Rattus norvegicus: one gene and its partner. Each later gene encodes a partner of the first gene's protein in a complex. Links are inferred from orthologs where the notes say so. Each region holds a gene or a part of one and is shown on either strand. Other genes may lie near its edges.

What was found.
Region 2: the proteins of Mki67 (region 1) and Nifk are in contact, whole or in part, in an NMR structure (PDB 2AFF), measured with the Homo sapiens proteins. The link is inferred for Rattus norvegicus from reciprocal best matches to the Homo sapiens genes MKI67 and NIFK. Residues at the interface, in NP_002408.3 of Homo sapiens: Thr9, Ile10, Lys11, Arg12, Ser13, Pro18, His19, Phe20, Pro21, Ser23, Leu24, Arg31, Gly32, Ile33, Glu34, Cys35, Asp36, Ile37, Arg38, Ile39, Gln40, Leu41, Pro42, Val43, Val44, Ser45, Lys46, Thr66, Asn67, Ile91; in NP_115766.3 of Homo sapiens: Val228, Asp229, Ser230, Gln231, Gly232, Pro233, Thr234, Pro235, Val236, Cys237, Phe241, Leu242, Arg245, Gln248, Val249, Leu252, Asp256, Lys257, Asp259, Glu260, Ile261, Val262, Phe263, Lys264, Gln265, Pro266, Ile267.

Annotation. Positions count from the first base shown.
Region 1 is NC_086019.1:199,927,518-199,943,631, reverse strand, and holds part of Mki67 (proliferation marker protein Ki-67), read left to right. Parts: coding exon 1-434; intron 435-1,859; coding exon 1,860-2,035; intron 2,036-2,841; coding exon 2,842-3,103; intron 3,104-3,189; coding exon 3,190-3,308; intron 3,309-3,394; coding exon 3,395-3,566; intron 3,567-5,450; coding exon 5,451-5,606; intron 5,607-6,444; coding exon 6,445-10,464; coding exon of another isoform or gene 10,465-10,818; coding exon 10,819-13,436; intron 13,437-14,094; coding exon of another isoform or gene 14,095-14,106; coding exon 14,107-14,517; intron 14,518-16,114. UniProt on the Homo sapiens protein: Protein that associates with the surface of mitotic chromosomes and acts both as a chromosome repellent during early mitosis and chromosome attractant during late mitosis.
Region 2 is NC_086031.1:31,941,877-31,957,990, reverse strand, and holds Nifk (MKI67 FHA domain-interacting nucleolar phosphoprotein), read right to left. Parts: upstream 11,846-16,114; 5' UTR 11,814-11,845; coding exon 11,709-11,813; intron 10,150-11,708; coding exon of another isoform or gene 10,147-10,149; coding exon 10,012-10,146; intron 7,602-10,011; coding exon 7,493-7,601; intron 6,057-7,492; coding exon 5,845-6,056; intron 4,789-5,844; coding exon 4,720-4,788; intron 2,845-4,719; coding exon 2,659-2,844; 3' UTR 2,041-2,658; downstream 1-2,040.

The DNA of each region.
Region 1 (16,114 bases):
GACAGCTAAAATGAAGACCCCTGTGCAGAAGGCACAGCAGCTTAAGGATGAAGACTCTCGTGTTCCTGGCAGAAGAAATTCTGTGAATCTGGATGAAAGTGAAAGTGCCCAGGCAGTTCATAAAATAGTCACTCCTGGGAAACTGGTAACTAGAAATCAAGCTGCAGTAAAAGTTGGACATGTTGCCAGCCCTGCCAATACACCAGAACATTCCTCTTCCAAAAAGAGAAGAAGTATTCCTGCAGACATGGAGGTTCCATGTGCAGAGACACAAAAGCGGCTCTCTTTAACACAGTGCCTTGCTCCAGGTGAAAAGAAAAGTCCCAAGGATTCCTTCAGCAAGCCTGAGAAACTGGGCACAGTGGCCAAACAGACTTGCTCTGGTATAACTGGCCTTAGTTCCATTGATATCAGCAACTGTGGTGATTCCATTAGTAAGTTCTTTGATGTAGATCTATTTTTTTCTACTTTCTGTCTTACGTATTATGAGTTAGTGAGATGTTTGTTTAGTGTGACTAGCTGTGTGCTAAGGAGCCTTGATACAGTAAGAGGCAAGCTTTATCTGATACATGGGCACTGAAGACTTTGCCATTTATAAAGAGGTATAATAGAGGAGGTGCAACTAGTTCAGGGGGGAACCATATCACAGAAACTACCTCAGGAAAAAAAATGGAGTTTTTCTGAATCCCAATTATATCTTATGAGATTGGTTCTTGGAACTAAATCATGGTCAGTCCTTTGAGCCGTCATTGAACATAGTAGCTCATAGGTGTTCAAACTCTGTTCTAAGTCTCTCCTTTTTTGTTTTGTCTGTCTTGTTTTGTTTTTTTGAGGCAGAATTTCTCTATGTAGCAAAGTACTATATGCTTCCAAGGCATTAACAATTTGTTTTTAAATTTTTTATTACATGTACTTATTTTTGTATATGGGGGTAAGGGAACATAAGCCTGTGCCATGGTGCTTATGCAGGAGTCTGAGGACAACTTGTAGGGGCCAGTTCTCTCCTTCCACCATGTGCCATCTTGGTTCCAGGGAATGACCTCAGGTCCTTGGCAGCAATCACCCTTACCTGCCTAACCATCTCACCACCTAGAGAAAGCTTTCTCTTTATTCTCTTTACAAACATGAAGGCTCTTTACAAACCCCCCAAAGCTACATAGTGAGCAGCCTCATGGCATCTTCCTATATACTTGTTTCATGCTGGCTTAAAGAAAGGAAAGATCCCTGGGCTCCAATGCAAATGACCTTTATATCAGGAATAGCTTCTGGTGGTGACCTATTGGTGTGGCTATCTGTCAGTGACACTTGGACCTATCAGCGTCAGCCAGTGTTCAGTTGTGCCTTATAATGGAGTGCCAGTCCTGGACAAGGAGTTCATGTAGACTATTCAGGAAGTTATAGAATGGCTTTGGGTTGCATGAACTTCCTACTAGCATGACCTGAGATATTTTGCCTGCTCATATAGTTTACTCATAAGGCAGATCTGGGTCTGGCCCATGTATGTGTCTTTTATCCAGTTCCCCAGGGCACTGCTCAGGTTCTGTCTTCTCTGCTGGAGAGTAACACTACTGCTGTGGGCAGATGACTTTCTTAAGCTAAGTCACATGCAATTTTTAAGTTTTTAATTTTTAGTTTTAAGGAGAACCTCCATTCTCTCCAGTTGAAGTGCAATGCATCTGGTTTCTCTTGAGATCTTTTAGGAAGTCCTGAGGCTGCTCTGGTTTCAGTTTTATGAATCAAGGTGCCATGTTTCAGTGCCTTTGCAATGCATTACTTTTTCATGCTATTTTGAAATAAATCCTAAGTCCTGGCATAGCGTTTTCATTGCTCTTTTTATCTGTTTGCGTTCCTTACTTCAGACAAGAGTGAGGGAGTGCCTTTGAAGAGAAGACGTGTATCCTTTGGGGGTCATCTAAGACCTGAATTATTTGATGAAAACTTGCCTCCTAATACTCCACTCAAAAGAGGAGAAACACCAACGAAGAGGAAGTCTCTTGGCACTCACAGTCCAGCTGGCCTAAAGAAAATCATCAAGGTTAGTTGGACAGTCAACCCTGTGTTTGTACCTCATATTTCACAGATGGTTCACTTTCTATCCAAAACCAGGCTGAGGTAAAGGGTAATTGAGTTCTTATTTCTCTACTACTTGTCTCATGCCCAGTAACAAGCATATGAGCTCTCAAGTAGTTCTGGGAGGTAAGGCGGGGTACTAGACACTTTCCCTTTAAAGAAGACCCTATAACTCCCTGGGACACACTGGCATTATTTAGAAGAAGCTGAGGGCAACAGCACATGTGACCACAAGGGTTGCTTTGTTTTTTTCCTGGGAGTATAGTGCATTGAGGTTGTGGGGAGGAAAATCTTCGGTAAAACATATCTCTTCTGCACATGTAGCTCCTTAGGCCTTTAGCCCTCTATTACTGTTCTATTGCTTTTCCTTGGTGTGACTGTGTAGCTCAGTTTACTAAAAGGGCCCTGGACAGCTTATTCTTTTAGAACCTAAAAGACTTGGAAGCACACCTAATACCTGCCTTGTCCCACCTCACAAAAGTAGCTTTGCCCATGCAGACCCCCTGGCTGGTATTGGCTGAGCTGAAACCGAGTGCCTTATTTCGCTGAGTAGTGTCCCTGTTTCCACCAGAAATAGACTCCACTGGTTCATATGTCCCCTTCCTCTGCTTAAATGAATGGGGCAACTGATCCCTTTCTTATCCTTGAAAGACAGAGCCACTGGTGCATGATTTAAAAGCTACCTGGTTTGTTGTAAAGGTTTTTAACAGGCATTACAGAGATGTTAACCTCCTTACTCAGGCTTTTCATAAATGATTTCTGCCTTGTCAGGAACGGCCTCCGTCTCCAGGGAAACAAGAGTCTCCTGGAGTAACTCCACCAAGGACAAATGATGAAAGACGAAGATCAGGCAGGACTTCACTTGCTTCCAGCGGAAGCAAATTCTTATATGAGACAGACATTCCCAAGAAAGCAGGCAGGAAGAGTGGCAACCTGCCTGCGAAGAGAGCATCCATCAGCCGAAGTCAGCATGGCATTCTACAGATGATTTGCTCCAAAAGAAGAAGTGGTGCTTCTGAAGCCAACCTGATTGGTTAGTGCTGTATTGGGCAGAAAGAGTTCCAACTCAACTTTCTTATGATGGGTTTTGAAACGTTCACCATCTCTTCCTTTTGACAGTTGCAAAATCATGGGCTGATGTTGTAAAACTTGGCGTGAAACAAACGCAAATGAAAGTTGTGAAACATGTCCCTCAAAAGCAGACAAGAAAAAGACAAAGAAGACCCAGTACTCCAAAGGTATAGAGCTTCAGCCACGCTCTGCTTTTATTTTCAATTGTCTTAGGCATGCGATGTTCATGCTGTGATATTTTGTTTGTCTGCAGAAACCTACAAGCAGCCTTCACGATCAATTTACTACAGGCCATGCAAACTCACCCTGTACCATTGTAATAGGGAGAGCACAGACTGAAAAGGCAAGCATGCCTGCCCGACCCTACAAAATGCTGAACAACTTGATGCTAAACTGGAAAATGGACTTCAGTGAAGATCTGTCAGGTAAATGTAGTTACATTTACGAGAAGGTCTGCAGTCACAGTCTTCTTGATCGTTCTGTTTGTGACTCCATCCCACGCCCCCCTCTTACAACCTTAGAACCCCAGCTGGAGTCCAGTAGCAGTGAGTGACTACAGAATAACCCATTGGGCCAGCAGCTTTCAGGTGTCATAATATTCAAAGATGAAGTTGGTTGGGAGTAGAGGACAGGTCTCAGTCAATTTGGGGGATCTGTGCCCTACAGGAAGCAGGGATGGAAATCTGAAGTGCATAGCCTCTGGTGAGCAGTGTGTGAACAGAAAACGGACAGGTGCATTGTGGTGTGAGGATGATTGGGTGTTATTTTCTTCCCAAGGAGTTGCACTGACGGCTGATCCCAGGGAATAAGTTGGTTTAGAGCAGTAGTAATGCTTTTCCAAGATTCATTTTCTTTCTAGTGAGCTTAACTGCTTGCTGAGAGGAAGCCATGTAAGAAAGGTTTTTCTGAGCTATTGATAAGCTGTTGTCACTGTCTTGAGTATCAGTGAAGGTGTAATTGGCTGGCTTAGACTTACTCTCAGGAAAGCAGATTTGTTTCATGTTCCTCAATATGTGAGTTTCTGGAAGAGAATTACAATTTGAACTGAGTAGGTAAAATCTTACTTTTATTTGTGGCAGATTGGGAATTGAAAATGACCAAATACCTCATGTATAATGCTTGTGAAATTGCCCCTAAAAGAACTACATTTTGGATTAATTTATTTATCTCTATAAAAATAACAAAAGATGAAAACAAAAAATGAATCAAGTGTGTGTATGTGATTATAAATTGAGGATGATATATAAATATATATTGTATTGGATTATATTATATTTCAAAAACTCAAAGATAAATAAGAGTTTAAATACACGGTACATGAGACAGTGACTTGTCTTGAGTGTTCCTTCCTTCATTCATTCTTGGAGTCAGTCAATTCTCTTCTCTTGGTGTAGGCAGCTCCCAACCCCTCAGCCCCCCAACACACACTTTTCTTTTTTTCTTGAGATAGAGTCTTACTATTCAGGTTAACTTAAGACATAAAGAAATCTGCTTGCCTCTACTTTCTTAGGGCTACCATACCTGACCTGGCAGCTTCCATTTTAAAACATTAGAGGGTAAACCCTGACATTTCAAGTAAGCAGTAAGGTCTGGAAGACAAATGAGACTTATTGAACAGGCTAGTGTGGATAGACACTGCAACAGTTCTCAGACCCGTTCTTTAGTGAATGCCAGCTCCAGCTCTCATTCTGTGACGCCAACAAGACAGAAGCATGACACACAAGCCTCCTTTTCAGGAAGCTTAATTAGCCATAAGGAGTCACTACTGCCTTTTTGATAGTAAAGTGAGTAGGGAGGGATGGTACTTAAAGTGTGTGTGCGTGGGAATGTTTGTTCTTGACAGGACTGAAAATGGTCAGTATTTTGCCTGTATTCTAAACTGTAGAAACATATTATATATACCGAGGATTTAGATCTGGTAAACCTAGACTTGCTGAGGGCATAACAAGGCCTGTGGGTCATGGATTCCAGATCATCAATACTCTGAGGTGAGGTACCCATGCCTAACTTTTGTCCCTGTGCTGGGGCTTATTGTTTGGGAACTAGTGTAGAAAACTACAGAGGTCAGCTAAATCGCTGAATTTCCTTTCCCATAGGAGAGGTTTAGAGAAGTGGGCTATACGTGTTTTTTTTGTTTTTTGTTTTTGTTTTGTTTTGTTCTTTTAATTTTAATTTTATGAGCATATTAACAAAAATCATTTTACTGAGATGATGCATCCCTGGAATCTGAAAGCTTCTTTGTCATCTACATTGTTTTATATGAGGAATGAGATAATGTAAGCCATGTTTCCAATGTTTTCTTTTATCAGGACTAACTGAAATGTTCAAGACTCCAGTGAAGGAGAAGCAGCAGCAGATGAGTGACGTGGGCTCCATTCTGTCTGATTCAGAGAATTTGTCTGAAAGACAGTTGCAAGGAACCAACTCAGAAGACACACCCCCACCCACCGCCTCAGAGATTTTGGGTTGGTTCATTTGTCCTTTCCACTGTTAGACTGTGGAATGGAGACTTGAAGATTGCCTTTTTCTTCATGCACAGTACTGAGTTTCTTCTCTACAGTAGCTTTTCCTGGTCAAATGCCATTTCCACCATCTCTGTTCTGTTTTTAAGCAGTCTTTGCAATTTTTCTAAATGTTAATCATTGACCTAGCTTGGTAGGAAATATTATTCACTCAGTTAATAAGTCTGTATGCTATTAGCTTCTTTGCCATAAGGCGATAGAGGTGTAAACAGTACACTTGTCTTGCCATATTTATATATAGATTTCAGTAAAAATTATTGTGAGCATAGAGATGTAAGTCTCGATTGTTACAGTGCTCGCCTGACATGCAGGAAACTCTGGGTTAAGTCTATGCATTGCAAAAACATTGTGTGGTGATATATGGCTTTAATCTCAGAACTTGGGAGGTAGAGGTAGGAGGATCACAAGTTGCTTACATACAGAATTTGATATGGACCATAAATATGCATAGTAGAATCCATTACTTCATTAGTGAATCAAGATAATAAATAACTGTTTCAAATGTTTCAGAACAAAAATTTGCTTGTATTCAGGTCCATGTCACCTGTCTTGACAGGCTTCAGAAGACCCTTAAGGATACTTTACAATGGCTCTTCCCTGTTACCAAATAATATTACATTTAATAGATCATAAATAGTACATGGTTGAGATCATCTAGTAACTCCTTGGTAGAAAAGCTAAATTATTGGTTCTTATATACTTCCAAAAGATAAAATATTAAGCTGGTATTAGGTGGAGAAAATGATAACTTTTTATGTATATATATTTTTGTTTCTTATAGGAGAAAAAGTGCTCCTCAGTACTCAGAATGCAGCAAAGCAGCAATCCAATAAATATTCTGCAAGTTCTACCTTAAGACGGCAGAGCATCAAACATGAAAACACAGTGCAAACTCCTAAGAATGTCCATAACATTACGCAAATTGAGAAGAAGACTCCAGCCTCTGAGACAGAGCCTCTAAAGACAGCATCAAGTATGAGCAAGTTAAGGAGATCTAGAGAGCTCAGACATACCCTTGTCAAAAGTAAGAATGAAAAAACAGAAGCAGTCCTTGCCAAGAGCATCACAGGAAGACATCTACGGAAGACATTTCAAGGACAAGAAGTAGACCAACAAGTGCAGGGCAGTGAAAACTCTTCACAAAGATGCGAGGAAAACAGTAAATTAAGTGAAGATTCAGAAAAGACATCCGCTAGGAGATCAAGTGCCAGGAAGCAGAAACTAACAAAAGACTTAGTAGGAAGTCAGATGGTCACCCAATCAGCAGACTGTGCTGAGGACCTACTTAGTCAAGAACAAGGAACAATACAAAACCTAGAGGAATCCATGTACACGCAAAACACATCAAAAAGTGATCAAGGAGTTGCAAAACAGAAAGTTAACACAGTGGTAGATGCAACCAGAGTGAAGCGCTGGTCAAAGACCCCTGTCAAAATGACACACCCTCTAGAAGGTGCAGCTGATTTCACGGAGCACTTTGAAACACCAGATCTCAAAGATGAACCCATAGGTGATGATGAAACTAAAGTCCTTTGCAAATCCCCACAACCCAAAACAGAGAACCTCAAGGCAAGCGCAAAGCCACGGACCAGCACATCTAGGAGGAAAGTAGATAGGAAGGAAGAACTCTCTGCCGTGACAAAGCTTATACATATGTCAGGGGAAAGTAGGCATACTCCCAAAGTTCTAAAACTTGAGCATGGGGATATCAAAGCTTTGAGGCAATCTGAAAATGAAATGCTGGCTGCAACAGTAACTGGAAGCAAGAGGCCTTTAGAAAAAGCTAAGGAAAAGGCTCAGCCTGTGGAAGACCTGACTGGTTTCGAGGAACTCTTTCTATCACCAGTCCCTGGTGACAAAATCACAAAAATGCCCAGCAAATCTCCACACACAGAATCAGTCAGAACTCCAGCAAGCACAAAGAGACTGTCCACGACAGGTCTCAGTAAGGTGGATGTGAGAGAAGAGCCTGCAACCCTTGGGAAAAGAACAAAGTCATCAGGCAGAGTGACAGGCACACCAGCACCAGCCCAGGAAGATAATGATACCACAACCTTCATGGAAACTCCCAAGCAGAAACTGGATTTCACAGGAAATTCAACTGGACATAAGAGAAGGTCACAAGCATCCAAGAACAGGGCTCAGCCCCTAGAAGACCTGGATGGCTTCCAAGAACTCTTCCAAACACCAGCTGCTGCTAGGACCCCTGTGACTGTTGATGAAAGTGCAAAGGTGTCTCTGGAATCTGTACAACCACAACTAGTCATAACCTCAGCAAGCACAAAGAGACTGTCCAAGACAGGTCTCAGTAAGGTGGATGTGAGAGAAGAGCCTTCGACCCTGGGGAAACGAACAAAGTCATCAGACACAGTGACAGGCACACCGGCACCAGTGCAGGAAGAAAATAACACCATGGCCTTTATGCAAACTCCAAAGCAGAAACTGGATTTCACAGGAAATTCAACTGGACATAAGAGAAGGTCACGAGCATCCAAGAACAGGGCTCAGCCCCTAGAAGACCTGGATGGCTTCCAAGAACTCTTCCAAACACCAGCTGCTGCCAGTGACCCTGTGACTGTTGATGAAAGTGCAAAGGTGTCTCTGGAGTCTGTACAACCACAACTAGTCATAACCCCAGCAAGCACAAAGAGACTGTCCAAGACAGGTCTCAGTAAGGTGGATGTGAGAGAAGAGCCTTCGACCCTGGGGAAACGAACAAAGTCATCAGACACAGTGACAGGTACACCGGCACCAGTGCAGGAAGAAAATAACACCACGGCCTTTATGCAAACTCCAAAGCAGAAACTGGATTTCACAGGAAATTCAACTGGACATAAGAGAAGGTCACGAGCATCCAAGAACAGGGCTCAGCCCCTAGAAGACCTGGATGGCTTCCAAGAACTCTTCCAAACACCAGCTGCTGCCAGTGACCCTGTGACTGTTGATGAAAGTGCAAAGGTGTCTCTGGAATCTGTACAACCACAACTAGTCATAACCCCAGCAAGCACAAAGAGACTGTCCAAGACAGGTCTCAGTAAGGTGGATGTGAGAGAAGAGCCTTCGACCCTGGGGAAACGAACAAAGTCATCAGACACAGTGACAGGCACACCGGCACCAGTGCAGGATGAAAATAACACCACGGCCTTTATGCAAACTCCAAAGCAGAAACTGGATTTCACAGGAAATTCAACTGGACATAAGAGAAGGTCACGAGCATCCAAGAACAGGGCTCAGCCCCTAGAAGACCTGGATGGCTTCCAAGAACTCTTCCAAACACCAGCTGCTGCCAGTGACCCTGTGACTGTTGATGAAAGTGCAAAGGTGTCTCTGGAATCTGTACAACCACAACTAGTCATAACCCCAGCAAGCACAAAGAGACTGTCCAAGACAGGTCTCAGTAAAGTGGATGTGAGAGAAGAGCCTTCGACCCTGGGGAAACGAACAAAGTCATCAGACACAGTGACAGGCACACCGGCACCAGTGCAGGAAGAAAATAACACCATGGCCTTTATGCAAACTCCAAAGCAGAAACTGGATTTCACAGGAAATTCAACTGGACATAAGAGAAGGTCACGAGCATCCAAGAACAGGGCTCAGCCCCTAGAAGACCTGGATGGCTTCCAAGAACTCTTCCAAACACCAGCTGCTGCCAGTGACCCTGTGACTGTTGATGAAAGTGCAAAGGTGTCTCTGGAATCTGTACAACCACAACTAGTCATAACCCCAGCAAGCACAAAGAGACTGTCCAAGACAGGTCTCAGTAAGGTGGATGTGAGAGAAGAGCCTTCGACCCTGGGGAAACGAAGAAAGTCATCAGACACAGTGACAGGCACACCGGCACCAGTGCAGGATGAAAATAACACCATGGCCTTTATGCAAACTCCAAAGCAGAAACTGGATTTCACAGGAAATTCAACTGGACATAAGAGAAGGTCACGAGCATCCAAGAACAGGGCTCAGCCCCTAGAAGACCTGGATGGTTTCCAAGAACTCTTCCAAACACCAGCTGCTGCCAGTGACCCTGTGACTGTTGATGAAAGTGCAAAGGTGTCTCTGGAATCTGTACAACCACAACTAGTCATAACCCCAGCAAGCACAAAGAGACTGTCCAAGACAGGTCTCAGTAAGGTGGATGTGAGAGAAGAGCCTTCGACCCTGGGGAAACGAACAAAGTCATCAGACACAGTGACAGGCACACCGGCACCAGTGCAGGATGAAAATAACACCACGGCCTTTATGCAAACTCCAAAGCAGAAACTGGATTTCACAGGAAATTCAACTGGACATAAGAGAAGGTCACGAGCATCCAAGAACAGGGCTCAGCCCCTAGAAGACCTGGATGGCTTCCAAGAACTCTTCCAAACACCAGCTGCTGCCAGTGACCCTGTGACTGTTGATGAAAGTGCAAAGGTGTCTCTGGAATCTGTACAACCACAACTAGTCATAACCCCAGCAAGCACAAAGAGACTGTCCAAGACAGGTCTCAGTAAAGTGGATGTGAGAGAAGAGCCTTCGACCCTGGGGAAACGAACAAAGTCATCAGGCAGAGTGACAGGCACACCGGCACCAGTGCAGGAAGAAAATAACACCACAACCTTCATGGAAACTCCAAAGCAGAAACTGGAGTCTTTAGGAGATTTAACAGGGCTTAGGAAACAGTCCAGAACACCTAAAGCAAAAGCCCAATATCTAGAGGACATATCTGGTTTTCAGGAGGGTTTCCAGACACCAGACCATGCCAATGGCCCATTAGCAGTTGGCAAAACCAAAAAAATGTCCTTTATTTCTCCACAACCAGGAAGTGCCATAACCCTAAAGAGCATAGAGAGACAGTCTAGGGCAAGTATGAGTAACATGAATGTTAAAGAAGAACTTTTAGAATCAGAGGAACACCTACAATTAGGAGAAGGTATAGACACACTTCAAGTACCTAACAACAACAAAGTCTTTAGGTCATCTAGGAAACCTGCAAAGCGTAAACTGGATCCAACAGCTAGTATGCCTAGCAGTAAGAGGATGAGACGTTCCTCAAAGGATAGCACACCAAGCCTAGAAGACGTGACTGGTTCCCAACAGCTTTGCCAAATGCCAGGCCATGCTAAGGACTCTTTGAACACTGAAGCCTCAACAATGTTTACTAAACCACCACAATCAGGACCAGTTAGAACCCAAAACAACAGAAAGAGTCTGCCCAAGATTAGCCTGAGACAAGTAGATGTGACGGGAGGAATTTCAGTTCTCGGGAAGCAGTCACCTGGCAGAGCCCTCACAGCACCAGTGCAGGCGGATAATGGGATCAAAGCAATTATGGAGACTCCAAAGGAAACACTGGCAACTGCAGCAGATTTAACTGGGTTTACCAGACCACAACAAACACCTAAGGAAAAAGACCAGCCCCTGGAAGATTATGGTGGCTTCCAAGAACTCTTCCAAACACCAGCTGGTGCCAGTGACTCAGTGACTGTTGAGGAAAGTAAAAAGATGCCAGTGGAATCTTTACAACCACAACCAGTCAGAACCCCAGCAAGCACAAAGAGACTGTCCAAGACAGGTCTCAGTAAGGTGGATGTGAGAGAAGAGCCTTCAACACCTGGGAAAAGAACAAAGTCATCAGACACAGTGACAGGCACACCTGCACCAGTGCCGGAAGAAAATGACACCACACCCTTTATGCAAACTCCAAAGCAGAAACTGGAATTCACAGGAAATTCAGCAGGACATAAGAGAAGGTCACGGACACCTAAGACCAGAGCTCAGCCCCTAGAAGACCTGGATGGCTTCCAAGAACTCTTCCAAACACCAGCTGGTGCCAGTGACCCTGTGACTGTTGATGAAAGTACAAAGGTGTCTCTGGAATCTTCACAACCACTACCAGTCATAACCCCAGCAAGCACAAAGAGACTGTCCAAGACACCAGGACAGAACAAGGATTTAGTGACACTGGACAATCTTGCAAAAATGCCAGGCAGTTCTCCACCACCAGAGCCAATAGATACTTCAGTAATCTCAGGTAGACAGCTCAGAACTCGTCTTAGGAACCTTTATGTGAAAAATGAACTGTCAGAAGACGGAATGCATCCAAAAATGTCAGGGGAAATTGTGGACTCATCTAGAGCACCAGGAGGTGAAGAGAAAGTCATTAAAGCAAGGAAGCAATGTGTAAAGCGGAAATTGGACACAGCAGTCAATTTACCTAGCAGCAAGAGGCAAAGAATTGCAGGAGCAGAAGAGCCACAGACCCTAGAGGATCTGCCTGGCTTCCAAGAGCTCTGCCAAGCTCCATGCTTGGTAATGGACTCAGTTATTGTTGACAAAACCACAAAGGTGCCCAGCAAATCTCCAGAACCTGTGGATACAACTTCAGAGATAAAGCCAAGAAGACGACTCAAGAGACTGGGTGTGACTGAAGAGCCCATACCACAAAGAACGACTACAAGAGTGTTAAGGCAAACCAGAAACACACACAAAGAGCCCATAGATAGTAGTAATGGTGTAGATGAGTTTAAGGAGTCTTCGGCACAGAAACAAGACCCAGCCATAAGTTTAACCGGCAGGAGGAATCAACCAAGAAAGGTTAAGGAAAAGACCCAACCCTTGGAAGAGCTGACTAGTTTCCAAGAGGAAATTGCCACAAGAATGTCTTGCAAATCTCCACAACCAGAAGAGAAGAAAACCTTAGTAGGCTTAAAGAAGCAGCTCAGAATACAACTATTCAAAGTGGGTGTGGAAGAGGAGCCCACAGCACAGAGAAAGCAACCAGCCAGGGAAACCAGGAGCAGACTCAAAGAGCCCATGGGTAACAGGATAAATGTTGAAGAGCTTAAGAAGTCTACAGAGCAGAAAATTGACCCAGTAGCAAGTATGACTGTCAGCAAGAGGCCACGGAGGATACCCAAGGAAAAGGCACAGACCGTAGAATTGGCTGGTCTCAAAGGACCAATCCAAACCCTAGGTCACACTGAGGAATCTGCAAGGGATAAAGAACCCACACAGATGCCCTGTAATTCTCTACAACCAGAGCAAGTTGATAGCCTCCAACCCTCACCAAGACGTCCCAGGACAAGACATGGGAAAGTAGAGGCAGACAAGCCTTCAGCAGTAAGGAAGACAGTGCCAACATCAAGGCAAAGTGTGCGATCCCGAAAGGTCACTGAAATTGATGACAATGGTACCAAAGCTTCAAAGGCACCTGTAAAGCAGACATTAGATACAGTAGCCAAAGAAACTGACAGCAAAAGGCAGCTAAGGACACGTAAGAATGGGGTTCAACCTCTTGAAGTCCTGGGTGACTCCAAAGAAATAACACAAATATCAGATCACTCTGAGAAACTAAGACATGACACTAATATTCTTAAGAGCACTCTACAGCAAAAGCCAGACTCAATGAAACCTCTGAGAAAATGCAGAAGAGTGCTGAGGACCTCTAAAGAGGACCCCAAAGAAGTGTTGATGGATACCAGTGACCTTGCAGCATTACAAAGCAAAAGCAACCTTTACCTGTCCCCCCCCAGGAAGTCTGCAAGAGATGGAAGGATTTTGAAAACCAGGACTTTGTGCTCTGTAACCCCAAAGCAGGAAGCAACAGGTGAGAAGCCTGTACATAAGAAACAAAGGGCAGCTTCTACCAAGAGGCAGGTGTCACCTGAGCCGGTGAAGGTGAAACACCTGAGAAGTGTGTCACATAAACGTGAATCTGTGGAGGAGCACATTAGCACCATTATGCAAATAGAAGAAATGGAAGCCAAAAGAGAGAACCCTGTCACTCCAGATCAGGTGATGTGGGGAATATAGTGGGTGCTTGTCGGGAAGGGTGTGTTTGCTGAGGGTATTTGTGTATATTGCTAGGAGTTTGTGCACATATAACTATTCATCTCCTTAAGTTTTATTTTTCACCATTAATAGGCTGTAGCCAGTGATCCTTAGGGATCTGTGCAAGGAATAGACTAACTCCTAAATGTTTTCCTCTCTAAACTAAATGTATCTTTGGTTTGAAGAATGTGTCAGGGAACAGGTGGTCAGTGTAGCTCTGTGTATGTGACAGTATTAAGGACATAGGTTATATATCCTTGAAAAGGAATGAAGTAGGCAGGTTACCATGACACCCCTCAAAGATTGCAGGGCCTTGTACCTTAGTGATCTTTAAAGGACCACTACTGCCTTTATGATGGGCATTCTTCAATAGTATGAACTGGAGTGGTTTTGATATGTATTATGATTGACATCTTGAATTTATAATTTATTAGTAGAAATGATTATTTTTCTGTAGGAACAAAGTAACCAAGGCATTGCCTCGAATATCATAGATGACTCAGTAAATATAAATTTAATATATAAAGTTTGTGGGTTTTTTTTATATTTTTGCTTTTATCTTTTTTTCCTGATGGATCTTTTAGATTTAGCTAATTTTGTGGCTGTCTTCTCATTGCCTTAGAAAATACCCCAGAGCTCTAGGTACCGAAAGAAAACTGAAAAACAGCCAAGCCCCAAGTTTGATGCGTCTGCAGAGAAGGTTGGGATAAAGAAAAATGAGAAAACAATGAAGATCTCCCAGGAGACAGAGCCGCAGAATCCAGATCCTGGAACCAAGAAGTCTTCATCTCTGGGCAAAGTCAGTGGGAAAAGAACATGTTTGAGGTCTAGAGGACAGACGGAGATTCCCCAGCCTCATGAAGCAGAAGAGAAAACAAGAAAATCAGGTGCAGAAATCTCGATAAAGACCCAGCAAGAGAAAGGAGTCTCTGGAGATCCAGATGTTAGGCGTTTGAGATCCAGACAAACTAGAGTCACTTTGGACAATGAACCTAAGCCAAGAGTAACTCGAGGGGCCAAGAAAGATGCAAAAACTCTGAAGAAGGTAAGGGCCCTTGCTGTCTTACATTCTAGAGACCCAGAACATTCTAATATTTGTGCCCAGGTTGCAGAGGCAGAAGGACATACCAGCAGTTCCTGCTATTCTAGTGGGAGAAGCCATCACTCAGGCTCCTGCTTTCTTGTGCTTGTTTGGTAAATCCACTTTGAATAGCAAATTTACCCACTGAAGGTTCCATTCCAGAAGAGCTAGCTATTTTAATGTCATCTTCTGATGTTTGTGATGTGGCTTATTATGGTTATAGATGACATCTTCAGCCTCTTGAGATTGGCAACACTTAACTAAAACAAAAGTGGGCATGTCAGGACCTCAAAAGATTTCCTTTTAAATGGCTGAATGAGTTCGTTCAGCAGTTGAGAACACTGACTGCTCTTTCAGAGGAGCCAGGTATGATTCCTAAGACTCACATAGCTGCCAACTATCTGTAACTCCAGTTCTAGGGGATCTGATCTTCTCTTCTGACCTCCTTAAGCACCAAGCAGGCATGTGTCCATACATAGGTGAAGGCAAAAAAATAAAAATAAATAAAGGAATAAATCGGATTTTAAAAAATAAATAAAAAGGCAGAATAAACCCAGCGTTGTCTGTCTCCTAACCAAATAAAAGGAAGTAGGTAAAGTCTGCTCAGTAGAAAGTGTGCTGGCTCAGCACCCTAAGCTCACACACTATCTAAGCTGGTAGATTGTAAATGCTCATGTGCTGCCTGTGCTTGCACCCTCCCAATGGCAGGCTTACATTAATCAGTAGTCTAGGAAAAGTTAAAGATGAGCTAGGCAGTTACCTTTGTGGGAACGACACATAATTGCTCTTGGCACTCAAGTTGAACCTGAACATACTCTGAACGTTCCGAGACAGCTGATGAGATAGGGGTAGTGACAGCCACTCAAGACAGAGGTGTGCTGAGCTGGCAGTCCTAACCACTTCTAGAATAAACCAAGAAACAACTGACAGTGCAAGGAGACCCAGGCCTCCCAGAGGCCACAAAACATCCCACATGGCTGAGGGATGGAGCAAGAGGCATGAAAGTCTAGTGAAGAGGTGCAGATAGAATGAGCAATGGTTCTCAACCTTCCTACCCTCTTTAATTCAGTTCTTCATGTTGTGGTGTCCCCAGTCATAAAATTATTTTCTTGCTACTTGATCACTAACTTTGCTACTGTTATGAATCATATTGTAAATATCTGATATTCATGATATATGTGACCCCTGTGAAAAGATTGTTTGACAACCCCACAAAGAGGCTGAGAACCACTGCTCTAGAGGATTGAAGAGAGGCTCAGGAAAGTAGATCAATACCTAAGACGTGGAGAGGGGCTGTCTAGAAGCAGAAACTCTCATGGTAGTAGGCTTTCTTATAGATACCAAGACACATCAGCCTCACAGGCTTAACAAGTATATCTTATGTTCCCTCAGAACGCTAAGCCCAGATTCATAATCCTGAAAAGTAGTACTTTATCAGAATAAAATGGAAGGAGTAAAATCCAGGTTCTTATACTCAAATGATCCTGAACACAACAGCCAAGCCTTGAGGGTGATCAGGCCAGGTCATAGGCACTCAGTCCTCTTCTCCTCACTTGTACCC
Region 2 (16,114 bases), on another chromosome or scaffold:
TGACGTCACAGTGGCATACATGGAGCACCATGTCATTAGGGGACATTCTGGCATCTATGGAACAGTCATTATCACAACAGAGCCCTGCAGCATCACAATGACACACGATGACACAATGGAACCTTGCATTATTATCTCAATTGACCTGTAACATCAAAATGCTCTGTCAGATGAATGTGATGATGGCATAATGGTCTAATGTGATTGCACAATGCAGCACTGTGATGACAAAGGGACATGATGTTACCGTCAACAGTGACACTGTGGGACTTACCTGCACACACTGGTGTCTCATGCCCTTGGATCCCCTGGAACTGGAGTCACTGGCAATCGTGAGCTGTCGTGTGGGTGCTGGGAACCAAGCCTATGCCTGAGCCACCTGTCCGGCTTTCCTTGGTTCAGTGGAAATGCTCGGTTCAGTTTTTGCAAATGTGAGAGTAGCTCCCAGTATCCAAATCACTGGCAAACACTGGCCTGTCCATGTGTAGTCCAGTCAGATGTTTCTGGCTGTAGTCAAGTATAGATGTCAGTCCTTAAACATGACCTCAATGACTGCAGATGTCCATGTGCTGAGGCCAGAGGACATCGCAAGTACATAAAAAACATCACCATTACTTTCAGTCAAATGTTAGTTACCAAAAAACTACTTTATAGGGTTGAGGACATGGCTCAGTCGTAGAGCACACAGGACTTAGGTTCAACCCCCAGTAAGGGAGCAGGGAAGATGTCAGGCAGGGTGGCATAGACCCAGAGGAGGGTCAGGAGGGTCTACGTTGTGTGCCTGGAATACACAAGACTGTCTCAACAAGTTAAAAAATGGGGCCGTAAAGATGACACAGGAAAGTATTTGTCACAAGTGTGAGGTCCTAAGTTTGGACTTCAGAACCTATGTAAAAAAGGAAAAAAAACGGGCTGGAGAGATGGCTCAGTGGTTAAGAGCACCTGACTGCTCTTCCAGAGGTCCTGAGTTCAATTCCCAGCAACCACATGGTGGCTCACAACCATCTGTAAAGAGATCCGATGCCCTCTTCTGGTGTCTGAAGACAGCTACAGTGTACTTATACATAAATGAATAAATTTTTTTTTAAAAAAAGGAAAAAAACAAAAAAACAAACAAACAGGCTTGGTGTGGTTTTCTCCATAGAGAAGAGATCTCAGGCTTGCTGGCCTGCTCTGGGAGACCATTTCAAAATGGTCTTCTGATTTCCAGACATGTGCCACGGTCTGTGTGTGTTCTTTCCTCTCCTGACATCAGAAACATAACCATAAGGTAATGTGATTAAAGAAATAATCTGCCTTACACATACAAAAGATGTCAGAGGCATTTAGGCTGTGGCGTTCTGACCTGATTCTAAGTTATATTCATTAGCTTAAAACATCAGGAAACTAGGCTGTAACTAAATCTAAAGTGAAGTCCCTGCTAGTGAACGGGAAAGGCTCTCACTTACCCAGGCCCTGAGCTCACTGCCAGGCTACCAAGGTGCTATGTCTTATGGCCTCAAATCAGGTTCATTAAGAGCCCTATCTCAGGCTGGAGAGAGATGGTTCAGTGGTTAAGAGCACTGACTGCTCTTCCAGAGGTCCCGAGTTCAAATCCCAGCAACCACATGGTGGCTCACAGCCATCTGTAATGAGATCTGATGCCTTCTGGTGTGTCTGAAGACAGCTACAGTGTACTCATATATAATAAATCTTAGAGAGAGAGAGAGAGAGAGAGAGAGAGAGAGACAGACAGACAGACACAGACACAGACACAGACAGACAGACCTATCTCAAGCCAGCTGGTGGCAGCACACAGCTTTAATCTCAGCAGTTGGGAAGCAGTGGTAAGTAGATCTCTCTTGAGTCTATCAGACTAGTCTGACAGAGTGAGTTCCAGAATAGTCAGGACAATATAAAGAAATACTGTCCAACCAGAGTCCTATCTCAAGTGATTAAGGGGCAGAGGGATAGAAGACACTTGATTTTCTCTTCAGGTGTGTGTATGTGCACACCCAGCATTTACACTCACACCCACAACTGGACAAAAAGGATGCTTAATGGTGATTGATAGGTATATTCAACAAACCCAAATTAGCAAAACAAAAGCATAGAAAGATGGAGACTTTTTTAGAATTATCCCCACAAGCTCTTAGGTTCTCTTGTACACAAACTGCAGAAAAGTTTGGTCACCGTTGAATCTTCAATACAACCGCTGAAGCCGATTTGTGAAACCTACACACTAGCTTAGCTGCAATTAACTGTGGGTGAGAACAAGTCATTTCAGATTCCTCCTCAGCACCTGGACTGCCCTCTCACTCTCTGGATTTAACTTACAGTTTCAGATGCCTGAGGTTGAAGCCGGACACACTTTTTTGGGTTTTTTTTATATACACAACCACATACAGTCCAAACAGCACCCAGCAGCCATAAAGACTCCTGGGGGTAGTTAAGCCTGAGTTTCATAAGGATAGTAAACTTAAGGGAGCCACGAAGCCTGAAGACAAATTCAGGACAGGAAAGGGCAAAACAGCCAGTTCCCTGGTGGCTTTCCTCACTGGAAAATCAAACATGTATTCTTACTCCAACAGTCCTGTCCATGTTTGCATGTCACCACACTTAGCAAAACACAACGAGATCATATATGACTAGAACTAAGTGCATAGAACGCTGTCAGGATCACTGCTTGCTCTTCCTTTTTCTCAGTCTTTTTTTCCCAGAGCTTTCAGGTGCTGGAGTCTTTTGTGTGTCTTCTTTCACTGGTGACACAGGCAGTTTCAAAATGATTTCATCATCGTCATTGATTTCCATCAACTGTGATTTCCGTCTTTCCAAAAACGTTGGTGTACAAACTGGCGTGGGATCCTGAAAGCAACAAATACACTACAGTCCAGGACTGGGCACAGGCAGCAGGACAACCACTGAGAATCACTACCACCCTAGTGTCCATCACCTTCTTAGCCTTTACCAGGAGCGAACACCCGACACCTCTACCCCCCTAGTTTTAGGTATACCATGATCTGTTTTCAGCTTGTTCTTATTTTCCCTCGACACAAGGGAAGACTGCTTTTCCTCCTTCAAATTATGTCTATAGCAACTGATTCCCAGCATACAAGGACATGCTCACCTGGCTGTCCACAGATGACGACTGCTTCCTCCTAGACCTCTTACTCTTCTTGCTCATGTTAACAGGGTAAAGAAAGGCTGTGCTATGCCCAGATGGCATGGTGCACGCCTATCTCAGCTAGGAGCACACCACAGCGTGTCCTCAAGTTTTGACACAATGCTTCTGCACTTGAGATTGGGGCAAAGAAGCAACAGATACCTAGCTTCTGAGGAAGGCACAATAAAGCTTGGAAATCGATGCCACCTAATTACAGTTATGTGGGGAAAAAGCTGACAGGTTCTATGGAGGACAGAAGACATTCTAAGAGTCAGTTAAGGAAACCTTTGTCAACCCTCGTGAAAGACACCTGGGACTCCTTAATGTCGCAGACAGAGGGCCAAGTCCAGCAAGGCTTCCTTATCTTGTTTCCTGACTAGCAAGGGACTCAGCACCAGAGAAACGCCTCTGCTAATTCACTTCTTGCTCCTGGGGTTGCTGAAATCTAACCTATACACAATCACAAGCCCCATGCTCACCTGCTTCATTCTGATTTTGATTATTATGACTATTTCCAGCTTGAAAGAACATGAAGAACATCTTAGCTAAACTGACAAGATAATGAAGATCAGGGGGCTGGAGAGATGGTTTGGCACCGGCTGCTCTTCCAGAGGACCTAGGATCAATTTCTAGCACCCACATGGCTCACAAATGTGTGTATGCAAACCTGCTTGGGCCAAAAGGACACTGGGTATCCTACCTTATAAATCTTTATTTCCCTTGGACAAAGTCTCTCCCTGAACCTGAAGCTAGACTGGTGGCCAGCAAGTGTCACATGTCCATGTTTCCCCTCTTCTAAAGCATGAATCTGACATTATGTGGATTCTAGGATTTGAACTCAGGTCCTCATATTTCTGTAGCAAGTGCTCTTTCTCACTGACTCAGCTTCTACACAATTTTAGGGTTTTAAAAATCACAATGCTGCGGCTGGAGAGATGGCTCAACAGTTAAGAGCATTGACTGCTCTTCTAGAGGACCTGAATTTAATTCTCAGCAACCACATGATGGCTCACCACCATCTGTAGTGAGATCTGATGTCCTCCTCCAGTGTGTCCGAAGACAGCGACAGTGTACTCATATACATAAATAAATAATTAAAAAAAAAAGATACTCTCTCACAATGCAAGAGACCAGTTCTAGCCTAAAGTTACAGCAGGAGGATGGGAGGTTCATCTTCAGAACACTTTAGTTGGGGGCTTACTGTGTAACATTGGGGCTCCCTTGGGCTATATTCAAGATTTCAAGATCAATTACTAGATCTCAAAAAAGTGCCCCAATAAACCCCCAAACACCCACCAACTATATGAAGTCTTTAACAAAACGTGAAGTAGTGGAAATTACTTTTTTACCTTAAAAAAAGTTTTTTTGATTAGTCTGTGTGTGTGTGTTGTGTGTGTGTGTGTTGTGTGTAGCTCGGAGGACAATTTTTAGGAGTCAGCTCTTTCCTTCAACAATGTGAGATCCAGTGTCTGAACTAGGTAGCCAGGCTTGCTGGCAAGTGTCTTTGTTCCAAGTCTTGCCAACACTCCTGAAAGTATTTCTATAGTAACCAGTGCCCATTATCCAGATTATCTTACCTGGTTAGCCTCAGAATCCCCATGAGTGTTAGCAATGCTTGAAATCTCTTTCTTTGGCTTAGGAAGGACCTGCAAATAAACAATTTGCATATTTATCAGCTATATGCATATGTGGTAGCTGAATTCCCATTTTAAGTATCAGTGTCCAATTGCCAAATGGTTTGAATGTAAGTAACCAGGGTGAGTAGTGCATGCTTATAAACAGTACTTGGAAAGTTGAGGCAGAAAAGCCTGCAATTTGGGGGAGCCTAGACCATGGAGCAAGACCTTGGTTTAAAAAAAAAAGCTAGGGACTAGAGAGATTGTTCAACAATTATGAGCACTGACCATTCTCTCAGGACGCAGATTCAATTCCCAGCACCCAGATGGTGACTTGCAACTATCTGTGAGCTAGTTTTATGGTATCCAACACTCTTTTCTGGTCTCCAAGGATACCTGGCAACCACTTGGTACACAGACAGGAAATTATACTGGGGGAAAAAAAGCTGGCAGGGGCCTGGGAATGTAGTTCATACAAAGTAAAATACCTAAAGCTCTGGGTTATACCTCCAGGACTGCACGAACCTGGAATCATTATGTATGCCTGTAATCCCAGCACTTAGAAAGCAGAGACAGGAAGACCAGAAATTCTATGCCATTCTTGGCAGCATAACAAGTTTGATGGCAGCTTGAATGAGAGACCCAGTCTTCTTAATACAACAACAGGAGCAGCCACTAGTATAAGCAAGTTCATCTATCTACTCAGGATCCCAAGATACAGAGGCAAGAGGGTCTCTGAAGGCTTGCCTGAGCTACAAACTGCTCAAACCTGTCCATGCAACTCAGCCAGATCTTTTCTCTAAACGGGGCTAGAGTTTGAGGGTGGGAGGGATGGATGATGCAGGCTCAGTGTCCTGGGTTCCATCCTCAGTACCAGAAACATTAAAAGCAACAGACTACTTGCCTCGCATGGGCAGGCTCCAGCCTGGTTACCCATCAACCAAAAGAGCCACATGTACAAACCAAACCAAAAACCTAGTGTGAGAAGCAGATTCTGTATAATCACAGACACAAGTTACAACCAGTGAGGCAGGAAGCTCATCCCTGTAAGACAAACCACCAAGAAAACTAGAAAAGGATATTTACCAGTGAAGGAAAACTATAATCAATACCCTTCTTAGCTAGTTTCTTCCTGAGTAATTTTTCCTTCTTCTTAAACCGATATTCCATCTTTAACATCTGCAAATGTCCTCGTTTCTGATTATAGCGTTTCACTGCTGGAAATGATGGCGGATGAAACGGAACATTGCACTGGTTAAAAAGGTCTTTATGAACTTTTTCTCGTGGCATAAATTTACCTATAAAACAAACAAAGAGGAAAGGTTCTTTTAATTTTGTATTTCCCAGATAGCTATTTCTTGTGATATGAACTAACTACTTGACAGAAATAACCTTTAAGCATCAAACAATGATTACTGTCTATGAGTGTGCATGTGTGTAGGTTCACATACCCTGATGCCTGTGGAGGTAGTGCACAACTCTGGGGGTTGGTTCTCTCCTACTTTGATGTGGGATCTAGGGATCAGACTATCACACTTCCACATCAAGCAGCTTTACCTGGTGGCCCACCTCTCTGCCCTCTTCTTTCTTTTTTTTTCTTTTTAACACAGGCTCTCACACAGCCTAAGCTGGCCTTGAAGTTGCCTGCAATGAACGTGAACTTCAGGTCCTCCAGCTTCCACCGCTCAAATACAGGCACTAAAGGTGAGTGCCATCAGATGCAGTGTATGTGCCTGTATGGCCTTGTGAACGCTGGGCCAGTACTCTACCAGCTAAACTAGACTCCCAGTCCCACATAAGCCCTCTCTACCCTGGACGGGGCAAAGATTTGTAGTAAAAAAAACTCAGTAAAATCCAGAGTCTTTCTGGTATTTTCCTCAAACCAGATAAAGCAGAGCACCTATGCCCTCAGGTTTCTGTCCAGCCACTTTCTCCCAACAGGAGGCTGTATGCCTGTAAACTGGTCCCAGGCAGGGCACATGCTACCATGGGTGTAGGCAGGCTGGGCACTTAGGTCTACCTTCCAAGGCAGAGATCTGGATGGTGATGCCACAGGTTTCAGTGATGGGGCACAAGGTTCACAGGGCTCTACTTACCGATCTCTGTGGGAACAATTTATATGCCTATCTGTGGGTGAGTCATCTGTGCAGAACAAGGAGGGCTCCTTGTAGTCTTCTACCCTCTCACTCTTGGTTTTACTTCCTTCAAACAGCCTCTCACTGAGCCTGGAGCTGGGCTGACAGCCAGCGCTGCACCCATCGTTGATGAGTCTGATCTTGAAATGTGATTCTTTACTCTTGGTCTTGCCCTGTATAGACTCCACTAACAGGCCTCACATTAACTTCTTAGTTTTACGGGTGTCAAGAATCTGACCTATAGCCCATCTATCTCTCCCAGTTGAGTTCCCTAACATTTGGTAAGAAATGAACTCAGGCTGCACTGCTGTCCCTTTATTGGCTCATGACTATCTAACCGTCCGTTTTCTTTTCCATTTTTTGACATAAAGCCTCTACACAGCCACGGATGTCCTTGAACTTAGAGAGATCAGCCTGCCTGTGCCTCCCAGGATTAAAGGCATGTGACACTTACACTGGGCTTTAACCCCATCAGTTTCCAATTTGAGCAAAGTTATTCCCAAACACCCGTTAAAGATCGGTCTGCTTCTCTTCCTGAATACAACCCCACAGGTAACTTCCTAATCCAATCACAGTGCAGGAAAGGTCAGAGTACTTACATGATAGAAGCCTTTCACCAAAAAGGTAGTTATCCATTGTTTCTGCAACTATCTTGGCAACATCCTCAGACTCAAACTCCACAAAGGCAAAGCCTCTGCTGTTTCCAGTCTGAAACAGAAAACCCACAAAAGAGCAGTTAAGTGGCTAATTAAGAGCATTCAAGGAATAGGGAGGCAAAGTTTAGAACAGAGGCAGAAGGAACACCCATTCAGAGCCTGCCCCACATGTGGCCCATACATATACAGCCACCCAATTAGACAAGATGGATGAAGCAAAGAAGTGCAGACCGACAGGAGCCGGATGTAGATCTCTCCTGAGAGACATAGCCAGAATACAGCAAATATATAGGCGAATGTCAGCAGCAAACCACTGAACTGAGAACGGGACCCTTGTTGAAGGGATCAGAGAGAGGACTGAAAGAACTTGAAGGGGCTCGAGACCCCATATGAACAACAATGCCAAGCAACCAGAGCTTCCAGGGACTAAGCTACTACCCAAAGACTATACATGGACTGACCCTGGGCTCCAACCTCATAGGTAGCAATGAATAGCCTAGTATGAGCACCAGTGGAAGGGGAAGCCCTTGGTCCTGCCAAGACTGAATCCCCAGTTAATTTGATTGTTGGAGGGAGGGTGGTAATGGGAGGAGGATGGAACCTCCTCCATATAGAAGGGGAGGGGGAGGGACTAGGGGGATGTTGGCCCGGAAACCGAGAAAGGGAAAAACATTCAAAATGTAAATAAGAAATACCCAAGTTAATAAAGATGAAAAAAAAAAAAAAACATTTGACCTGGGTTCAACTCCCAGCACCCACATGGCAGCTGAAATCCCCTATTTCAGAAGCTCTGATGTCCTCCTTTCTGGCTTCTGCAGATACTAGGCATGCATGTAGTGTACAAATACACAGACGGGCAGAACACCCATACACATAAATAATAAAATTCCCTTTGAGTTGGGCATGGTGGTGAATGCCTATAATCCTAATATGTGGGAAGCAGAGGTAGGATAATTACAAGTTCAAGGCTAGCCTAGTCTGTGTAGCAAGACTGGAACAGCCAGAGTTCCACAGTTAATCTCCATCTCAAACCAACCAAACGAAACCCAAACACTTTAAAGGTGCTTACAGGATATAAATCTAAAAACCTGTTGAAACACATGGCCTCTGTCATGGGAGTGATGGCTCATCCTAGTATCTGAGCCACTTCTAGGCTCTGGAAGTGGAACCATGTTTCTGGAGCAAATATGGATTCATTGCTCACTGTACCTTCACTAGTTGAGCGGTGAACAAAGGCTACATCTCCTGGTAGCTGTTAAATAAATGCAGCAGTACATCAAGAATCAATTATTTCTTAGAGGGGCCCATAGATGTTATTTGGGGAGAGGCCTCTGGAGCAAGTGAGGAGTAGCCATTCCGTGAGACTGTGGAGTCTACAGAATTTAGCAGCTATGACTCAGGCAGAGGCAGTGGCTGCTAAGATTATCAGGAAGCTGGACAAACACTTGACAAAGGAAAAAAAGCTGCTGGCTGTATTAGCCAGGGCACCTGCAGGAGACAGCAGGTACATTCCAGAAGGGATCCACGAAACTCAACCCACCAAGAGCCAAAGCTCAGGAGCCTCCTCAGGAAATGGAAGACTCAGACAAAACAACACCTTGTTTCCAAGGAGGGAGGTAGAGACAGGTGGGGCAGCACAAGTCTCCCAAGGGAAAGGATTGTTCAGAGAACTAGGAAAGGCAACCAGCAGAAACCCCAAGAGTTGGAAATTCTCTTCCAGGGAGGAACCAGTGGGCAACAGGCCTTAAGAAGCTGGTGTGGTACCACAGACAAATCCCACCGCATGATTTAAGCCCCAGTAAAAGCAAATTCACAAAAAACAAAACAAAAAAAAACCCACCAAAAACCAAAACCAAAAAACTGACCTGCCACTTCTGTTTTGGCTAAACTGGCTGGGAGCAAGTTCTACAATCCAGGCTCCAGCTCCCAGTACTGGGCTCACTTGGCCTTTCAGTTGGTGCTTGAGGAAAAGGTGCGTGTGTGTGTGTTCTACTTCCTGTTTAGAGCGCGAGTGCTCTTACCATTGGGCCATTTCCCCAGGTCTCAGTCACCCTGTCACTGGGCTGGAGCTGGGCTGAGCTGGCTAGTCAGTGCGCCCCAGGAACCCCATTCCCACTTTCCTAGCACTGGGATTACACATGTATGTGACCATATCTGGCTTTTGACCTGGGTTCTGTAGATGGACAGTTACAAACTGGGCTATCTCCACAGCCTCATTATTTTTCTCTCTTTATTGAGATAGAAATCCACATTATGTAGCTGTGACTGGCTTCAAACTCAGTGGTCTACCTATCTGTCTCCCAAGTGCCGGGACGAACGGTATGAGCCACCATGCTGCTTCGCTTGTGAAGAGTTCCCAAGTAGGAACTTTGTAGGTAACAAAGTTTTGCCTATGAATACAAAGGAGGCCGTACAATTGACAAGCAAAATAAACATAGTTGAATTCAGGTACAGAATCTTACCCGCTTACTTCTGGACAATCTGAATCTTCTAATATCGCCAAACTGGGCACAGTAGTCATAGATGTGGCTTTCAGAGAGCGTTGAAGGTAGGTGCCCCAGATAAACTACTCCAGAGTTAAGTTTTTCTTCCTTCTTCTGCTGAGGACAAAACAGATAAACATTTTAAAAAATTCACACTGCACCAAAACATTGTATATACACATTTTTTTCTGACCTGGGTCTCATTATGGAGCCTTGGCTGGCCTGAAACTCACTATGTAGACCAGGCTGGCCTCTAATTCATGAATACTAAGAGTAAAGGCATTACTATGCTCTCTGCAAAGGACTTTATTTTTCAACAAAGGTATGTTACCATTCCTTAACTTCAGAAAAATTTAATTCTAAAGTCTTTTTTCCCTTTTTTGAGACAGGGTTTCTTTGTGTAGCCCTAGTTGTCCTGGAGTTAGCTTTGTAGACCAGGCCAGACTCAAACTCACACAGACCCACCTGCTTCTGCCTCCTGAGTGCTGGAGTAAAGGTGTGTGCCACCACCCCCCAGCTTTCTAAAGTCCTTTCAGAGGATAGGTAGAGCTTTGCCTGCCTCTGTCTCTCCAGCACTGGACTGAAGGTAAATGTAACCTTACCTGGCCTGCAACAAAATTTTCAACACCCTTCATTCCTCTTGGTCCGGGAACATTTCTCTATCACAGCAGAAACTGAAAAACTAGGTGTCTGTATCTCTTTTCTTAAGCACCGCTGTGCAAACCTGAGGCTTGAGTTCAATCACACAGAGCCACAGACTCTGCAGAGACAGACTTATGTGTGCCGTGGTGTGCATGCACACCCACCTGTCCCTACAAAGCAGTCGGCACATGTGTTCCTTAATGGACAATCAAGTGAAAGTCTGTCATTGTCACTCCGAATCCAAGACCTTCAACTCTGAACTCAGATGGCAGCTTATTACATCGAATCATTTCCGATTAACCTTCACAGTGAAGACTATACTTCTGTCACCACCTTAGAGAACAAGAACTTGTTTCCCATCAGGTAGGGTACTGGGTGACCTATAGTGACCTACACCTGTAATCCCAGTGGATATATGGTTCAAGGACTAGACTGCACGGCAAATGTGATGCAATTTTGTGCTACAAAAACTCTACAAAGACACTGTAACAAAAACAACCCGCACAAAAGACACCCCCGCCAGGACAACAGCAAAACAAGAAAGAAAATCTTCCTTTCTCTCCAGTGCACCTCATGCTGAAAACCAAAGGGGATATAAACTTCCTTTCGGGGCAGTCTGGGAACAGAGCTTGGCAGGCTGTAATCCCTATTTTCTTTGGCGAAGCTCTGGTCTGAATACTGAGCCCGAGCTGTTTTCTGACTCTCGATCCTCCTGCTTCCCCGCTCGTCCAAGGACCTGGATTTGTCTGTTCCGTCTACTAAGCACTACAACGTAAGGGGACATACATACCTTCCAAATGCTGTGGTTCATTCTGAACCCCCATTTTGCGGGCCAAAGCGGAAATGTGACAGCTTTAACATATTTTGGGAATTGGAGGTGCCATGCTCCCCACACGTGGTACACCTCCTTTTTCACGTGAGCCCTGAGGGCCTAAAGGGTCAAACCTCACACCGATTCCCTGCCTGCCTCAGTCTCCAGAGCCCGTGAGAGGTGGGCTCCCGAGTCAGCGCGGCCAGAGAGCCCCGCCGCTCACCTTTTTCGCGCGCCGTTGTATTTGCGTCAGATCCTTCTCAAACTGCGAGTCCTCCCGCGGGTTCAACGCCAGAGTCGGCTTCGCAGGGCCTGAATACTCGGCCATACTGGAGAAGCACGAACAAGTTAATCCACGCGGAACCTCCGGAAGTGACGTTCTTTTCACTACTCGGAAGCGGAAGCAGAGGCGGGAGTGTAGCAAGAAGAGCAAGCCCTGGTGTTTGGAATTGGACGACCTCGAGCGCCACCTATTGACCACAATCTAAAAGACTTTCTAAGACGGATTAAAAATTATTCGGAGGCTAATGTTGGTGAAGTGCTTGCCCAGCTCTGCATAAACCATGACTGGAGCCCCACGCCTGTAATCCTAGAATTTGGGAGGTGGAGGCAGGAGGATCAGGAGTTCAAAGCGGTTCTCATATGCATAGTTCGACCACGGCCTGGGCTCCATGGACTCAAAACAAATTTACAAGTCCCAAACATTATCCATGTCTGTTGGCTAGTCAGGCCTACAAGCAATAGGGAAAGTCTTCCTGCCATGGACTCCTTTTGTAAACTTTGTAAACACTCAAGCAGGAAAGTGGTCAGGCCCCTGCCTGAGGAGCTTCAATGGCCAGCCTCCCCAAATCTCCACATGTCCCCCTCTTTCCCTAACATCCCTAACGATTTCTAACCGCCCAGAAGTGGGAGAGTGACCAGACTCTGGCATACAAGAAAAAAGTTCCACCAGTCCCTGAGTTCCCTCAGGTTCAGGACTTGAAATTCCACCAGTCCTCACCATGGAAATCTCCACAACATAGTGCAACATATATTTGTATTTTTGATATTATACATGTGTCTTTATGTGTTCAGGAATTCAGGTGACCATAGAGAATAATGGTGTGGGATCTCCTGAACCTGGAATTACAGGCTGTTGTGAGATGCCCAGTGTACTGGGAACTGAACTCAAGTCCTCTGGAATAGTAGAAAATATTTTTAACTGTGAACTACTTGTTCAGTCCCTATTTATTTTATTTTTATGTGATAAGTGTTTTGCCTGTCTGTATGTGTACCCTATATGTGTAATGTGTGTGCCGAGGACAGAAGAGGGTATCAGAACATGGACTTAAGGACTGTGAGCCAGGGTCCTTTGGCTCTTAACCACAGAGCCATCTCTTCAGCTCCCTAGTAGGTTTCTTTAGATAACACAATAGGAATTTTGAGAAAACACACACACAAAAAAAGAAGTTTGAAGACTTTCTTATGTTGAAATAATTGTCTTGGGATGTAGCAATGGCTCAGTGGTTAAGAGCACTGGCTGCTCTTTCAGAGGTCCTCAGTTCAATTCCCAGCAACTACATGGTGGCTCACAACCATCTGTAGTGTGATCTGACGCCCTCTTCTGGTGTATCTGAAGACAGCTACAGTGTACTCATATACATGGAATAAATAAATATTTAAAAACTGTCTTTCTGTCTTCTCCATTTGTTTATTTACTTATAGATTAATTGATTGATTGATTTTGTGTGTACGCCTGTCAATGAGTATGGGTGTGTGCACCTTTGCCCTGTATCACATGTGTCTAGGTCAAAAGATGACTTGCAATAGTTAGTTCTTTCCTTCCCCGGTATCGGTTCTGGGGACTCGGGGCTGGTGGTAAGTGCCTTTACTTGTCAAGCCATCTTAATGACCTGGTCTGAAGATTATTTTAAGCCAAACATTTTTGAGACTCAGGGGATACAAAAAGGTCTTTATCTAAGAGAGCAAGTTCTGAGGAGATGTGGCTTCCTTAAATCCCTTTGGGGAATATCATGACATTGAGAACACTGTAAGAGGGGCTGGAGGTACAGCCTCGGTACAGAGCTTACATGCCTGTTTTGAAGCTCTGGCTTCTATTTCAAACTCTGAGTAAGCAGCACCTAGACAGCCAGCAATGTATGAGGCCTTCTCAGTTTCCACAAAAGGGGGAGGGCAATGGCAAGGTGGCTCAGAGGGTAAAGGCTACTGCTGTTAAGTACTGCTGAATTGGACCATGGAACCCAAATGGTACAAAGTGAGAACCAACTCCAGCAAGCTCTCCTCTGAGGCTGTACTAGTTTTCTTTCTGTTGCTATGATAAAACAAACCAAAACTAACCTGAGTGAGAAACAAGATTTTGTCTTATAGGTTAAAATCCAAAGGCAAGAACTGAAGTAGAACCCATGAAGGACCATTGCTTATTGGCTTGTTCCCAGGCTCATACTCAACCACTTGTCTTATATAAACCAGGCCATCTGTCAAAGGATGTTAGCATCCACAGTGGGCTGGGCCCTCCTATGTCAACCAGCAACCAGGAAAATGGCCCCAAAACATAACTCCCAAGGACAATCTGATGGAGGCAACTCCTTAACTGAAGTTCCCTCTTCCTAAGTGTATCAGTTACTTTCCTGCAGCTGTGATAAAGCACCACGATCAATGGACATTATAGGGAAAGGAGTTTATTTTGGTATATAGTTCCAGAGGAAGAATGCAGGAGAGCAGAGAAGTCATGGGAGCAAACAGTAGCAGGAAGCTTGGGAGCTGAGAGAGCCCATCTTCTGCAAACATTAAAGCCTCTACCTCCCACGTTCTCGCATGCTCAACTCATCTACCTTAGTTTTCTATTACTGGGATGACATCACGAGTAAGGCAATTTGTAGAAGGAAGAGTTTATTTAGAGCTTACATTTCAGAGAGTGAGCCCATGACACTCATGGCAGGGAGCATGGGGGTAGGCAGGCAGGTGGGCAGGGCACTGTAGTAGTGGCTGAGAGCATATGTCCTAATCCACAAGTAGTAGGAAGACAGAAAGCTATCTGGTAATGGCATAGGCTTTTGAAACCTCAAAGCCTTCCCATAGTGAAACATGTCCTCCAACAAGGTTCCACCTCCTAACTCTTCCCAAAGTTTCCACCAACTAGGAACCACGTACTCAAATATATCACCCTAGGGGGGGCATTCTAATTGAAACCATTACATCTGGTTCATGTTGTACTGAAGTCAAATCCAACGACTCACATTCTAGGAGAGCCTTCTACCTCTAGAGCTGTATCCCTGGCCTAGGGCCTGCGACTTGATTATGTCATCAAGTTCTTCAATTCCTTTTCTGATTTTCTGTTCTGTTGACATTTATCTTATATTGGTCTGATTCACAGACCCTCATACACAGAATAGAAAAAAATGGAAAGTGTTTTCTCTTATTTCTAGAAGATACGATGTACAATTGGCTATGTCAACTGGAGAGATGGCTCAGTGGCTAAAAGTGTTTGCTGCTCTTTCAGAAGACACAGGTTTGATTTCCAACATCCATGTATCAGCTTAAAACTGTCTGTAACTTCAGTTTCAGGAGATCTGTTGTTTTTTGGCATTCTCCGGCACCAGTCACATATGTAGCATACTTGCATGTATTCAGGCAAAATACTCATACACATAAAACAATACTTATGTTGCTTTGAGAAAAGGTCTCATTATGTAGCCTTGGCTGGCCTGGCACTTACTTTTTTTTAATCTTTATTAATTGAGTATTTCTTATTTACATTTCGATTGTTATTCCCCTTCCCGGTTTCCTGGCCAACATCCCCCTAAACCCTCTCCCTCCCATTTTATATGGGCTTCTCCTCCCCATCCTCCCCCCATTACCACCCTCCTCCCAACATTCACGTTCACTGGGGGTTCAGTCTTGGCAGGACCAAGGGCTTCCCCTTCCACTGGTGCTCTTACTAGGCTATTCATTGCTACCTATGAGGTTGGAGTCCAGGGTCAGTCCATGTATAGTCTTTGGGTAGTGGCTTAGTCCCTGGAAGCTCTGGTTGGTTGAAATTGTTGTACACATGGGGTCTCTAACCTCTTCAAGCTCTTCCTGTCCTTTCTCTGATTCCTTCAACGGGGGTTCTATTCTCAGTTCAGTGGATTGCTGCTGGCATTCGCCTATGTATTTGCTGTATTCTGGCTGTGTCTCTCAGGAGCGATCTACATCCGGTACCTGTCAGCCTGCACTTCTTTGCTTCATCCATCTTATCTAGTTTGGAGGCTGTATATGTATGGGCCAAATGTGGGGCAGGCTCTGAATGGGTGTTCGTTCTGCCTCTGTTCTAAACTTTGTGTCCCTATTACCTGCCAAGGGTATTCTTGTTCCCCTTTAAAGGAGTGAAGCATTCGCATTTTGGTCATCCATCTTGAGTTTCATGTGTTCTATGCATCTAGGATAATTCAAGCGTTTGGGCTAATATCGACTTATCAATGAGTGCATACCATGTGTGTTTTTCTGTGATTGGGTTACCTCACTCAGGATGATATTTTCTAGTTCAATCCATTTGCTTATGAATTTCATACAGTCATTGTTTTTGATAGCTGAGTAATATTCCATTGTGTAGATGTACCACATCTGTATCCATTCCTCTGTTGAAGGGCA